Linked DNA regions of Nothobranchius furzeri. Each later gene encodes a partner of the first gene's protein in a complex. Links are inferred from orthologs where the notes say so. Each region holds a gene or a part of one and is shown on either strand. Other genes may lie near its edges.

The links. The genes of interacting proteins can lie anywhere in the genome.
Region 2: the proteins of rps6ka1 (region 1) and sntg2 are in contact, whole or in part, in a crystal structure (PDB 7QQL), measured with the Homo sapiens proteins. The link is inferred for Nothobranchius furzeri from reciprocal best matches to the Homo sapiens genes RPS6KA1 and SNTG2. Residues at the interface, in NP_002944.2 of Homo sapiens: Pro731, Ser732, Thr733, Thr734, Leu735; in NP_061841.2 of Homo sapiens: Gly82, Gly83, Leu84, Gly85, Leu86, Ser87, Ile88, Lys89, Gly90, His94, Ser101, Lys102, Phe104, His134, Val138, Leu141, Arg142.

Annotation. Positions count from the first base shown.
Region 1 is NC_091758.1:28,126,868-28,133,564, forward strand, and holds the start of rps6ka1 (ribosomal protein S6 kinase alpha-1), read right to left. Parts: upstream 3,802-6,697; 5' UTR 3,641-3,801; coding exon 3,464-3,640; intron 2,460-3,463; coding exon 2,343-2,459; intron 2,242-2,342; coding exon 2,160-2,241; intron 994-2,159; coding exon 913-993; intron 792-912; coding exon 712-791; intron 297-711; coding exon 190-296; intron 112-189; coding exon 74-111; intron 1-73. UniProt on the Homo sapiens protein: Serine/threonine-protein kinase that acts downstream of ERK (MAPK1/ERK2 and MAPK3/ERK1) signaling and mediates mitogenic and stress-induced activation of the transcription factors CREB1, ETV1/ER81 and NR4A1/NUR77, regulates translation through RPS6 and EIF4B phosphorylation, and mediates cellular proliferation, survival, and differentiation by modulating mTOR signaling and repressing pro-apoptotic function of BAD and DAPK1.
Region 2 is NC_091758.1:38,843,217-38,849,922, reverse strand, and holds the start of sntg2 (gamma-2-syntrophin), read left to right. Parts: upstream 1-2,741; 5' UTR 2,742-2,805; coding exon 2,806-2,877; intron 2,878-6,706. UniProt on the Homo sapiens protein: Adapter protein that binds to and probably organizes the subcellular localization of a variety of proteins. May link various receptors to the actin cytoskeleton and the dystrophin glycoprotein complex.

The DNA.
Region 1 (6,697 bases):
GAGCGATGAGTAATGAAGGTCAACGGGGCAGAGGAGATTTAAGAGTGTGTGTGTGTGAGAACAGTAGACTCACCTGTGAGTTTGATATGACCCTCCTCATCCAGGAGAATGCTGTGAAAGACCAAACTGTATATTCATTTAATCTGTAGTGGAGAAAATTTCTGCTTTAGTGGGAAAACGTGTTTTTACTTTTCAGGTTTGAGGTCTCTGTAAATGATGCCCAGGCTGTGGAGATGGTCCAGTCCTAAAGCCAGCTCGGCCAGATAAAACTTCACATCCTCTTCTGTGAACATCACCTAGGAGTAAATCATACAAGTGATAAAAAGTTGTACCAAACAGATCAGACAAAATAGATGGTTCATTTTTTAATTTAAAGCCCCAGTCAGTAAAAACAATTCAACTCTTTAGCGAAACGCAGTTCAGGGTAGGTATTGCATCTACGGTAGCCCACACACATCAAAAAGGCCATGCCAAAGCGCAAACGTGAAATGCAGAGCATTATATCTTTTATGTCCGTAAGGAGCTCCTGTATTTCAAGATGGCGCTTGACAATGGAGGGTCAACTACAGCTTATGTATGTAAAAATGTAAAATTTTACGCTAATAGGAATAAATAAAACAGATATTGATGAGAAATATTAATAAAAAAGGACAATTTTATAGTAAATAAGTAAATATATTACAGACTGTGCTTTTAGGGATTCCCCTTTACCTCTTTAGAGAGCCGTGTGAAAAGATCTCCACCTCTGAGAAAATCCAAGATCAAGTATAACTTCCCTTCAGTCTGGAATGCTACAGATGAATATTCAAATATAAATCATCAAGCATGCACAGCTCAGATCTTAACGTTAAAACTCAAACAGTAATATTATTATCTCTGTTTAAGTGATTTTAATACAGCGAGCTGGCTCACCGTAGTGCAGCTTGACAACAAATGGGTGGTTGACGTCTGCAAGGATGTTTCTCTCCATCTTGGTCCTCACGCGGTCTCTGACTGAAGGACAAGAGTAAAAAGTCAATGCATTTTTCTATAAATTCTTCATCTGTGTTATTTGAAAAGAAAATACAAGAGAAGATGGTTTGTTTCTTTTATTCTTTTAAAAAGAACCCATTTCCAATTAAGAAAATCAACAGAACTCAGAAATACGCTATGAAAAGTTTAGATAACTTCTTTTAAAGTTGCAGAAACATGTTTATCGTGTCTTGGTGACATTAACTCAAGCAATATTTTTTTTCCTGGAATTTGAAATAAAATGATTAAAAGATGTCTAGATTTGAAGACAGATGTAAAGTGAAAAAAAAAAACAATTTGTACTGGAAATTTATTCCTGTTAATCAAATAAAAACTACATGGATTAATTAATCTGTGGAAGAAAATATGTTCTATAAATTAAGTTAAAATGCTGCATGGTGGTGCAGTGGTTAGCACTGTTGCCTCGCAGCAAGAAGGTTGCAGGTTCGAAACTCGGCTGTGGCCTTTCTGCGTGGAGTTGCGTGTTCTCCCCATGCAAGTGTGGGTTTCCTCCGGGTACTCCGGTTTCCCCCACAGATCACAACATGCCCTACAAGTTAAGAATTGTATGTCGCTTTGGATAAAAGCGTCTGCCAAATAAATAAACATAAATAAAAAAATAAAAATAAACATAAAATGCATTCACACTCATTAATAAAATGAATAAGACACGCTTCTTAATTTTGATTATTTCTTTGCAGTTTTACTGTGAACACGAAGAAGCATTTCAGCCAGCACATTTTAATTAGAGTTTTGGTACATATTTGCTTCCATATTGTGAAAGAGAAAAAAAATGTTTTGCAAAAAGTGACTGATTAGAGCCGATGAAGATGTCTTAGTTGGCATTCACTTTTGATTTGCACGACCTAAGCTAACCACAACCCTCTGGGAGACCGTGTGAACAGTTTGCACGCCCTGTTGTTTGTTGAGAAGATGAGACCACATCATCTGACAACAACCCACAGAAAGCTGGGGTGGTCTTTGCTTACAGGTGACATTTTTTGGCAGATATGAAACTGAGACTAATAATCACTACAAAAATAAAAAAGATCACAGGAAACCTTCCAAAAAACACAAGAAAATAATAGTATTATTATTAATTTTCATCACCTTTATCAGTTATGGAGGGTTATTCCAAGTGTGTGTACCTTTAAGAGTGGCCTTCTTCAGGACCTTCATGGCATAAAGCTCGTTGGCATCTGGAGGGGTCACCTTCCGTACAAGGAACACCTGCAAAACAAAAACAACCCTTATGCTTCTGGAGAGCGACCGAATTAAACAACGAGAGAAAAATATTTAAAAGTTGGACAAAGCGAGCCTAGGTGTGTTACCTTTCCAAAAGACCCCTGACCCAAAACTTTGAGCAGCTCGAACTGCGAGGCGTCTGCCTTCTCCGAGCCCTCCTTGACCACGTGGGTGATGTTGATCTCCTTGATGTCTCCATCTTCCTACAGAGTGAAAGCACAAAGCAGGTGCGTGAGCTGTAAAAGTAATCTAAGATGGTCGATCTGCAAATAGAACATTTCTGAACAGATGCGTCTTTGGGCATAAATAGAACCGTTTATCAAAATAAAAGCACAGAGAAAGAGGAAGCGCAGTAAAAAGAGAAACTGGTGTGCAAATGTAAGAGATTATGTTCTTATAAATGAGATGCAATGCTATCGAGTTTCTGGAACTAATGGTGACAACGGAGTTAAATGGAATTACCGGAGAACTCTTAAAAAGGAACATGGGTCTAGCGTTTAGTTATTTTTGGTCAAGAGCTGTTAAAACCACAGATTTTGCTCTTTGATCAAGGACTTGTGCAGGTTTATCTCTGGGTGGAGTAACGTTTGCGCTGCTGAAAGCACATAAAAATACCGTCAAAAGATAAAACAAGTTCAGAACGCTTGAGTTTGATGTTTGCAGAGCAGGAAAATATAAATGATGACTCTGAAAAGCAGCAGTGAAAGAAGAAAAAGCACTTTTTCACTCCAATGAAAGGATCCAGCTTGGATTTTTTTAAAACAGATTACTGCACTCAATTTTTTACATTGATTTTAGTTAATGGTCACCAGAAGAGGAAGCACCTACTTCCAACTCATAAACCATAGATGTATTACTGGTAACAAACAAAGGTGGATCTTCTGATGCCCAGACGAGGGACTCATGATGGGGTTTTATTTTTTGTAGCTACTTTAGATTCAGGTTTTTGTGTAATCTTTAAAAAAATGTTACTTGTTAGATTTTAAAAACAACCACAAACCACTGAAGCCTGGATCTGTGTGACAACAGGAAACCAGCCTATCAGCTGCGCCTCGCTTCTGAACAAACATCAACAAAAACACCCTCATTTGCACTTTGCAGTGACAATGCATCTCATATTTCTTCACATAACCTAAAAAATTAGAAAACAACTCAAGTGGGAAAACGTGAAGAAGACAGACGTGAACTTGAGGAGGGATCACTTTACCGTCCACTGGTTCCTTGGTTCGGGTGAAATGTCACCGTCTGCTGCAGCTGAGGCTCTGCAGCCGTTACAGCGAGCGGGACTACCAGTCAGGGATTTGTTCTTTCTGAACAGGTAAAGGGACAGCACGCGGCTCAGCTTGAACTTTTTTTTGTCCTTTTCCATCTCAGCATTGTCCATGCTGTTTTACGCTCCTACCCGCATCCATCACAAGGCGACCGCCGCAGCAGCTCGCACAAATTCATCTCAGGCTCTCTTCAGTGCGAGCACGGCTCAGACTCTCTTGTGCTCCCATGTTAAAGTTGGTTCTGCAGGTGAAAGTCCACAGCATCTGCATTTTATCTACCGTCCTGTTTTTTAACAAAATGCATCTTCTTCTCTTCCATCGTGTCTCCTGTCATCCCTCCGTTTGTGTTGTTCTGGTTTGACCTGCGTGCCCTCTCTGCTGAAGTGAGCTACAGCTAGAATGAACAGGAAGGAAGAGCCTGCTCGTATTCTCGCAGTCCTGCGCCCAACTAGTGGAGCGCAAACACATCTGTGGCCGACACAGACAGAAACAGATAGAATTGCAAGAAAGCAAAAGAGGAGAGGAAAAAGTGTAAGAATAGCTGCCAATCAGACTGAAAAAGCAAAGCAAACACTTAGAAAATACCTCAAGAGCATGAAACTAAGATTGGGTAGGTAGTTTAACATTTTTAAACAAAACTAAAACAAAAATGTTTCAAACTGACTCTCTGACCTTTTCCCCTAATCTGGCCTTTCCAGTAGATGCGTAACAGAAGCGCTTTATCCGCAAACTCTCTTTCCACTGGAGACATGAAACGGTAGGTGGTCTCACAGACAAAAGGGGATTTATCTTTTGCGAACTGGAGATAAGTGATTAGCATGGCGTTCAACCTTACACCACATCGGTGTATTGTTTTAGCTGGTGGTTGTAGTGTTAGCAGGAGTGTGCTAGCATCGCGAGTGCTGGTATCCTACTGGTTTTAGATCTTAACCTACTTGAACTCTGCAGATTCATTTAAAGGGAGTGATTAGCAGTTCCTATAGAACCTGATGAAGGCTGAGGAGGTCATTTGGTAGCTAGAATCAGGTATATCTGAGCAGGAACACACCAAAACCATTACTTTTCCTTCAAAATGTTGTATGAGGCGTGCTTTTCAGCTCCTTCCAGAAGGGAAAGGTGGCGGGCGCTACAGTCGTTCCAATTTCAAAACCGTCTCTTCCTCTCCTTGATGACATCATGCTATGGAGCACAGCTTTAACTTTTGCCACAGTATAAACACAGGAGAGAGAGAGAGAGAGAGAGAGAGAGAGAGAGAGAGAGAGAGAGAGAGAGAGAGAGAGACAGAGACAGAGAGAGAGAGAGAGAGAGAGAGAGAGAGAGAGAGAGATGGAGCACGGATGAAGTGTCCACATTACCGTGACAATTCGGACAACTAACATTTTGGCTGGGTGACAGACAATTTCCTAATTGTGGAAAATCATGTGAACAGCTCCATTCCTGCTCACCTTGTCACCTGAGATGTCTCTATTTTCTTTCCCCTGCATCACTTTTTTTGCTCCTGATCCAATAATTCTGCAGCGAGTAAATCAGCTGTGGAAAAACCGAGCTCCCCAGCTCTGCACTGCAGTCTGAAAGCTGGACGCTTTTCTTTTTCCTGATTGGCAGATGAACAATCCAGAGGACAAAAAGACAAAAATGCATAACGAAAGCTAGAAGAAAGGAGGAGCGACACTGACTGGTTTAAATCTTTAACAGGTGAGGGCTTACCTGTTCTCTAATATTGGCAAACTCCCTCTCTACCCAGCTGATGTGTGACTCGTTCTAAAGGGACCAATTTAATGGAGCAGTTAACTTTATTAGGATTACTACATTTTGCACACACACACACACACACACACACACACATACACACACACACACACACACACACACACACACACACACACACACACACACACACACACACACACACACACACACACACACACACACACACAAGGGGGTAAAAGTAGCGTGATGGTAGCCACACCAGTAACAGGAAACCTCGCTTCCCTCCCAGTTTTCACTTCCTCTTTATTTGAACCGATCTCACTTCCTTCCTGTTCGATAAGTCCTACGAACTCGTGCCGAGTCCCCCGGTAAAACGCTAGAGATCTCAGAGATGTTATAACACGCCACTCTGATCTCACCCCAAATCAAATCAACTTTATTTATATAGCACTTTTCATACATAAAAATATGCAACTCAAAGTGCTTCACAGATTAAAATGGCCCCATAGATCCTATATTCCCATCCCAGCCCCCCTCCAAGTATAAAACAATTGACAATTACACTTCCCCTCCCGCAACCAATTTCCAAGGGCCAGCGCTGCTCTAACGAGCAGATGCTGTTGTACTGAAAGGAGTCTCCAAGTTTAAAACTGATGTCGTAAGGACTGTTTAGGAAAAAAATACAAATAGAGAATTTTAAAGTGTGACTCATACTTTTTAATTCATTATCAATTTTTAGACAGAAAGAAGATATTTCATCTGAGTTTTTATGATTAATGACGTGGAAGACTCTTTAATTTCACAGCTGAGAAGTCAGTAACCTTCATCACACGCAGACCCCCCTAACCATTATATCACACACACACACACACACACACACACACACACACACACACACACACACACACACACACACACACACACACACACTGTGTTTCTTTTTATCAAACATGCAAAAAGAAAACAAAAAAGTGACCACTTGCCTCTTTTGCATGAGTTTTGGTGCGGAATATGAACCTCCACATGTCCAATTATTTCCATGTCACTGACGCTGTCACTGGTGAGTCTCAACTGTCTTACAAACACACAGCTTCTGTGTCAGTTAGCCAACCCTTTGTGTGTGTGCAATACCACAGGAGATGAAATCTGCTTGCACACACACACACATGCACACGCACGCACGCACACGCACACACACACACACACACACACACACACACACACACACACACACACACACACACACACACACACACACACACACACGCACACACACGCACACACACACACACACACGCACACACACACACGCACACACACACACGCACGCACACACACACACACACACACACCCCCCAAAATGGGAAGTTATAAAAATGGGTAAAAGCAGCAGCAGATGGATTTGTTGGGGCTAAAGAGGGAGGGTGACACGACTCTTGGAGGAAGGAATAAGACTTGGT
Region 2 (6,706 bases), about 11 Mb from region 1:
AAAGTTCTGCTCCCAAAGGCTCTATATGTTTTGTATAGGAGGGGCATCCAGCGCGCATGTGTCAGTCATGGCGTAGGTCTATGGTGAAGGTTTTTGCGCCCCCAAAGGAACAGGAAATACATCACAAGACCTTTTGGTTGTGGTAAAAGAGTAAGAGAACATTTTAAACCACACTTAAATGCAGATTAAACACAGTATTTAAGTTTCAAGGTGTTTTAAAATGTTTTGTGATTGAGGTAATATGACTTGAACCATTTTTGATTTTCTGCAGATCGACTTTAAGAAAAGTTTTCCTGAAGTTTTGTGTTTTATTTGTGTCTGAATCCATAACAGAGCTGTGATTTAGTGGGATGAAGCCCCCCCCCCCCCTTTTTTTATTTGCTTCTTTTGATCATTTTCACCTTGAAAAAAATCTGTGTGCTTTGCCTCAGATCATGAAAAACACTTGACTCAGAACCAAAATCTCGGTGGCTCCTGGCAGGTTTGGCTGTTTTATCGATGATTTAAGTGGCCGTTAAAGGTCCTCGGAAACCTGCTTCATAGTTAAAAAGGAATTTATGAAACCAAATAGGAAACAAACTTCAGAATGTTTCCCACAGAGCCGATGGTTTTGGTTAAACTGGAACACAGGAGGATTAAAACCAGAAGCAGGTCACAAACCCACAATTTGAGGTTTGTCAAATGTGACAGCAACAAAATCACGAAGCAAACACAATTTTTTTTCTTTATGAAACAAATAAATGACATCATCATCACAAAGAAACACGTTTTCTACCACCGTAAACATTCAGACTCTAGTTAGCACGATAACTTTTACCCATCATTCCCAACCTCTGCGTTTAGACTGACGCTCAGCTACAAGCACAAATTATAACTCGACATCTGTAGAATCCATGAATTTCTGTGGCGGCCATCTTGAATTTGTTTGGCACCAAAGGTTAATTGTCTTCAGACGAACGTTAAAATCCATCCAGACGTTTAGGAGATGTTTAGCTAACAAAGGCAAAACATTATCACCAGTGGATAAAACTACACGAAAGGAAAAAATGGTTTGGAAAAAATATTTACTGAGAAAAAGCAGATTAGTTGTTTTGGTTTTGACCAAAACTCCCAACAAGGAACTATCTATCTAACTGGAGAAAACCGACGATTAACGAGTGCAGATTTTTGATCTTATTTGGTTTTATTAAATCACACATTTAAATACTAGAGCCAGATTTTTTTTTATTAACTCTCCCACTGTCTTTATGGGTGACCCCGCGAGGAAAGTTGACCATTGAGCAGGACTGATGGTTTATCCCTTGAGGTCCACGTGGCAGAGATGAGGTGATGCTCACTCCTCACCCCTGCCACGTGGACCTCAAGGGATAAACCATCAACCCTGCCCAATGGTCAACTTTCCTTGCGGGGTCACAGCCATTAGGACTGTGGGAGGGTTAAAAAAGGCAAAAAAGTGAAAGGTTTAAATTTCAAAAGAGGATGTAAAACATCAAACACAAAAACATTTAAATGTTAAAACTTTATATTTTCAAGCATTTTAGTGAGTTTTCTTTCAACAGGTTAAAACAAGCTTCTATATATTATTATTACCCAGAATCCTCTCCCACGAAGGGTCTGCAGTAAACGTGAGAGTTGTGTCTGGTGAGCATCACTCCTCCAGCTCCTCTGCCTTCTCCCATTGTTGCCAGGGTAACCTGGATTTGCCTAAAAATTTATCTAAAAGCCTGAAACTGCGGGAGGAAAAGATGCAGACGGGAAAGGCGACAGAAAAAAGGGCACTGTGGGTAGAAAGTAAATGGAGCCGCTCGGAAACAAGATGAATGGGAGAGATCTGCAGCCAGAACGCCGCCTTCTGCTTTGTTTGTTAATTCAACCCATTTATTAAACTCCCAAACATTTATTTTCTTGACTTGCGGCTGCTGAGTTTTATCAGCTGCTTTATTGATGATATAAACTGGAAATAATCTCTAAAGTGGTTTTTCAATTCAGCCATAATCTCAGGGGTTATAGTAAACTATACATCAGTGTGGAACACTCAGAAAACCATCCGATAATGCACCGCACCTGCCAGCTACACACCTGTACATTGGGATCAGAACTGAAGCTGTCTAATCTGGGTTCACAGATATTTTCATGACCTTTCTTTTTAACTGAAATTTATAAAATGACAGAATTTCATTTTCTGATTGTTGAATTTCAATCCAAAATGGAGAGAAAAAAAAGAATAACTTCAAACTTGATTTAACTGGTATTTGTTGATTTAGTGAAGATTTTCTGAGCTTCGTAGACCCCTGTGGTCCAGGTGTAGCCGACAAACATGTCGCCCATCGTTCGTCCATCAGAAGGCGACTTTAAAAATCCTAATTTCATCTTTATTTCATGCAGGAGAAGCTTATCGAGTTAAATAACTGGACATTTTTATTAAACTTTATTTATTGTAAAAATTATGCAGGAATGAGGTGTAAATATGAGGCACCCCACCCCCACCCCCCGTGTTTATGGACCTATCATCGCCTCTGCTGAACTGATGTGGATATGGTCCAGGACCAGGTGAGAGGGTTAATGCTCTCTGACGCGTGAGGATTCAGGTTGGGTCGCAGCAGCTGCGGACAATCAGCGCTGATTCACCGCCGGTTCGGTCCCGCTGCCGCTCGACCCTCTCCGGTCTCTCCGGGCGCGAGCCGCTCAGAACTCTCACGGAACCGTCAGACATGCCGTACCGGACCCGTAACCTGGACACCGGGGATAAACGCTCGCCGGATAAATGACTTGAGAAACTCCCGGTGAAGTGAGCGGCGGCTGGAAATGAATGTGACCGGGAAGCAGCACCAGCCTGAGTCCATTGAGCGACCCGCCAGCCTCCCGGTACCAACCTCGGTGAGTGAACCCGCTCTGCGGGGTTTAATCCTCCGGTAAATTCACAAACTTCAGCCCGGCGGCAACCCTTTGATCTGCGCTGGCACGCGAAGAGCACGCGCGGTACCCTTTGATGTGCATGAGACGTCCAGCTTCTCCTTTAAAAACTCCACCTTTTGGGTGTTTACAGATAAAAACTCACCGGAGCTCAAACTGAGCCTCGGACCCGAACCCGACCCGGAACCAGGGCGAACGTGAGAACACCTCGGCATGAATGCTGCGCTTTAATTTAAACAAAAACACAACTTAACCGAAGGGCCAGAAACACCAGCTTCTTGTTGCTTTTGAAACTAATTCCCTTCATCTTGTTTCTTTCATGGTGACCTGAAGGGTCACAGCTGTGACGTTTAGCCTTATTTTGGGACATATCTCCTAGTTTTTAGGTTGGTGGTGATCTCGGTGCCAGAGTGTTGTTGGAGATTTTCATCATTTATTAGCATCACTGAGCTTATCTTTGTGTTCTGATGAGTTTAAGGAAAACAAACGATCCGACCTTTAGAAATTCCTCCTTGTTCATCATGTTACAGAAAACTCACACGAGCTGTAAAATACCATCAGTTATCTGATCAGAAACGGATCAATCTTCCTTTTTTGTCATACATGAAGTTCACGTTTCCATGGATACGTCTTAGTTTCATTTTGTGTTTTATTCCAAACTAAAGCCTCTGATCCTTCTTGTTACGATCTCCATCTGTGACTTCAACATGGTTTAGTAAAAGGCTGCATCTGCTCAGGTACACCTGACTGGTACCTGGGCGGATCCAACCAGGTGTTGTAAACGTTCCTCAGAGGTCCTGGTCCATCCTCACATGACAGCATCGGCTCATGAGAAGCCCCCGTTCCACCACATCCCAAAGCTTCTGGGACATGGTGACTGACCTGACAGCTGAAATCTAGACTCATCAGACCAGAAAAAGCTTTCCAGTCTCTTCTGGTCCCGTTCAGCTGATCCTGTGGGGATTGTAGCCTCGGTCTCCTGTTCTTAGCTGACAAGACAGATGCCTGGTAACTGGTTTGGTCTTCTGCTACTGGAGTTCATCAGGAGCAGCTTGTGCTTCTGCAGACCTTGGTAGGAACCAGTGCTAAGCTGCTGCTCTAGAAGTGTTTGATGGTTCCATTCCCAGGAGATAAGACCTGCTGGTTCAAAGTATCTTAAATCTCAGTTCAGATGAACGTTCTGAGCTTCAGCGAGTCTTCTGGTTGAGTAAATGCAGGCATCTGATTGGCTGATAAGATATTTGCATTCATAAGCTCTCAGATGGACTTAATAGAGTTTTAATGACCAAAGTTTCCGAAGCAGCTGATTTCAGATCAGTTTCTATAACAAACTCTTTGAATCTGATCACCAATCACAGATGAAACGTGATGACAGGACTGAAAAGGCACTCGTCTTCTGTTGTTGTTCTCCCTATGGCCGCCAGTCAGCTGTTATTAGAAGCATCCTAATGATCAAATGTCTGATTAGTCAGATGTGAAGCGGGTCGGGGCAGAAAGGACTTCCAAACGAGCTCAGGGGGTGTTTGAGTTGATGCAGCCGACTGGTTCGTCCTGTCCAAACACTAATGGCTCTGTGTTAGAGTTGTGTGTCGGGTGCTTTAGGTCTGTGATGGACAGCCTGGTTTTCTCCTCACCGCACGCTGGGAGAGTCTCCACGCCTGATTTAGCTCTAGCAGCACGTTTGTCTGGTGAAGGCTCGGAATAATATCCCCTGTAACGCGTGTTAGTCTCACCCCACCATCACCGTCGTAAACGCAGATTTGTACGTTTAAAATCTGACCGAGTCACCGAGCAAAGGCACAGCTACACTGCATCTGGACCACAAAGTGTCCTCACCACTCTCGTCGGGTATCTCGCTGCTTAAAGTCAGTCTGGTTTTCTTCTTGGACGTTTTCTGTTGTGGTCTCGTGGATTACATCGTCTCTGAGCGGAGTTTAAGTCAAAACTGACAAATTTTAAGTAAACACGCAGCTCTAATGTCAACGAGCGAAGCGTGTTCTTCTTTATGACATTTCTAAGTTCCTGTGGTTTGTGTGTGGCGCCCCCTTCAGGAACCACGTGGTACTGACACTTGGAGCAGAGGGCTTCATGTCTATATTTAACCATTTAATGGCACCAGCTGTGTATTTTGCACATCTTCTGCTTTTAAAGGACTTCATTTATTTCTTTATTCCAGTAAATTATCAGTGAAACAAGATTTACTTTTAACTCATTCACCGCCAGCCGTTTCCTGATCGGTAGAGCCCTTCGCTGCCAGCATTTCTCACAGTTTTTACTGTTTCTTTTAAGAGTCACAGAACGTTGCGCGCTAGGATAATGTCGTTGCCAAAACAACAAAACAAAGAGGAGACTCGCCTCTTACATCAGGAAGAATCCGCGCGTTTCGAGCGTTATCCGTTCTTTCATAATCCGTTGTTGAATTGTGATCGGCAGAAGCTTTTCCGGTTCGCGCTTCACTTTCTGTACAGCAGCGGCCCAAACCGATCTCCTAACACATGGATTTTCTGCTTCCTGATCACGTGACGTGTGCAGATGAAGATCAGCTTTAGAGATGAGATGTTTGTTCTCACGGTGCGGGGGCTCGTCCGACACCCACACAGTAAAAAAAAGCTTATGACGATGGTTAATAGTTAAAGAGATCTGGTCTCTCAAACGGCCAAGTGTGCAGCAAACACATAACGACCGTTTCCAGTGACTTCTGAAGACGAAAACCTTTCTCTGTAATTACCACTTTTGTCTGAGGGCACATTTAAAAGCATCAGCTATTACCCATAATGCATTTGTGACCCGACAGGGGCGTTGATTTTATGAGCTCCTAGTTCACTGAATGCTGATGGTTGCTGATGCTTTACTATGTTAGATCTGTACCAGTTAGAAGTTCATAAGTTTTGTAATTAACGGCGTTATCCTGGAGGTGTTGTTCCTAACCCCCAAATTCCACTACCTCCGCTCCGCTCCGACACGAACGCCGGAGCAAAATCGGTCCCGTTGTAGTCAATCAGAGCAATTCCACTACTGCGGCCATGCTCTGGCAGTGCGGCGCCGTGCGCCGCCCTCTGTTCCGGCATCCGGCAAAAATACAATCGATCCTATTTTCGCCGGACGCCGGAACACCTCCGCAGTAAATGGACAGAAATCACAACCGCCCAACAGGAAAAGGAGCAAGCACAACTTCCGTTTTTCACAATAATTCGATAAACAAAAGGCGTTTTTTGTTTCATATGCACAGGTTTAACAACCTTTAACAACTATCAATGGCGGCTGAAGTTTAAATGCACAAAAGTAAGCCATAAATACAGTTGCCACTATCAAAGTAGTCACACTTTGATGATCCAAACACTGCTGATCTCTAACACAAATGATGGGCAGATTAAACAGTTCATTTCGATGCTTCTCCCACACGACGGGTGTTTGGATCTAACTTCCGCGTTTATTGCTCGGACTGTATCGCAAGATCTCGAAAATCCCGCGCATGCCTGTTTGCCCCCCTCAGGTCTCCGGAGCGGAGCGGAGCCGTTGTAGAGCGGGTACCAGTAAAAATTGAGTTCGGAAGTGAGCGGCTGCGGAAGGCGGGGGCGGACCAGAGCGGAGCGGAGGTAGTGGAATTTGGGGGTACACGAGGAGGGAACGAATAACACCAATGAGTGTTTGGACTGAAATAATTGAAGCAGCACAAAAAGCCTGACTACTTTTATAGTAGAAACTGTATTTATGGCTTACTTTTGTGCATTTAAACTTCAGCCGCCATTAATAGTTGTTAAAAGTTGTTAAACCTGTGCATATGAAACAAAAA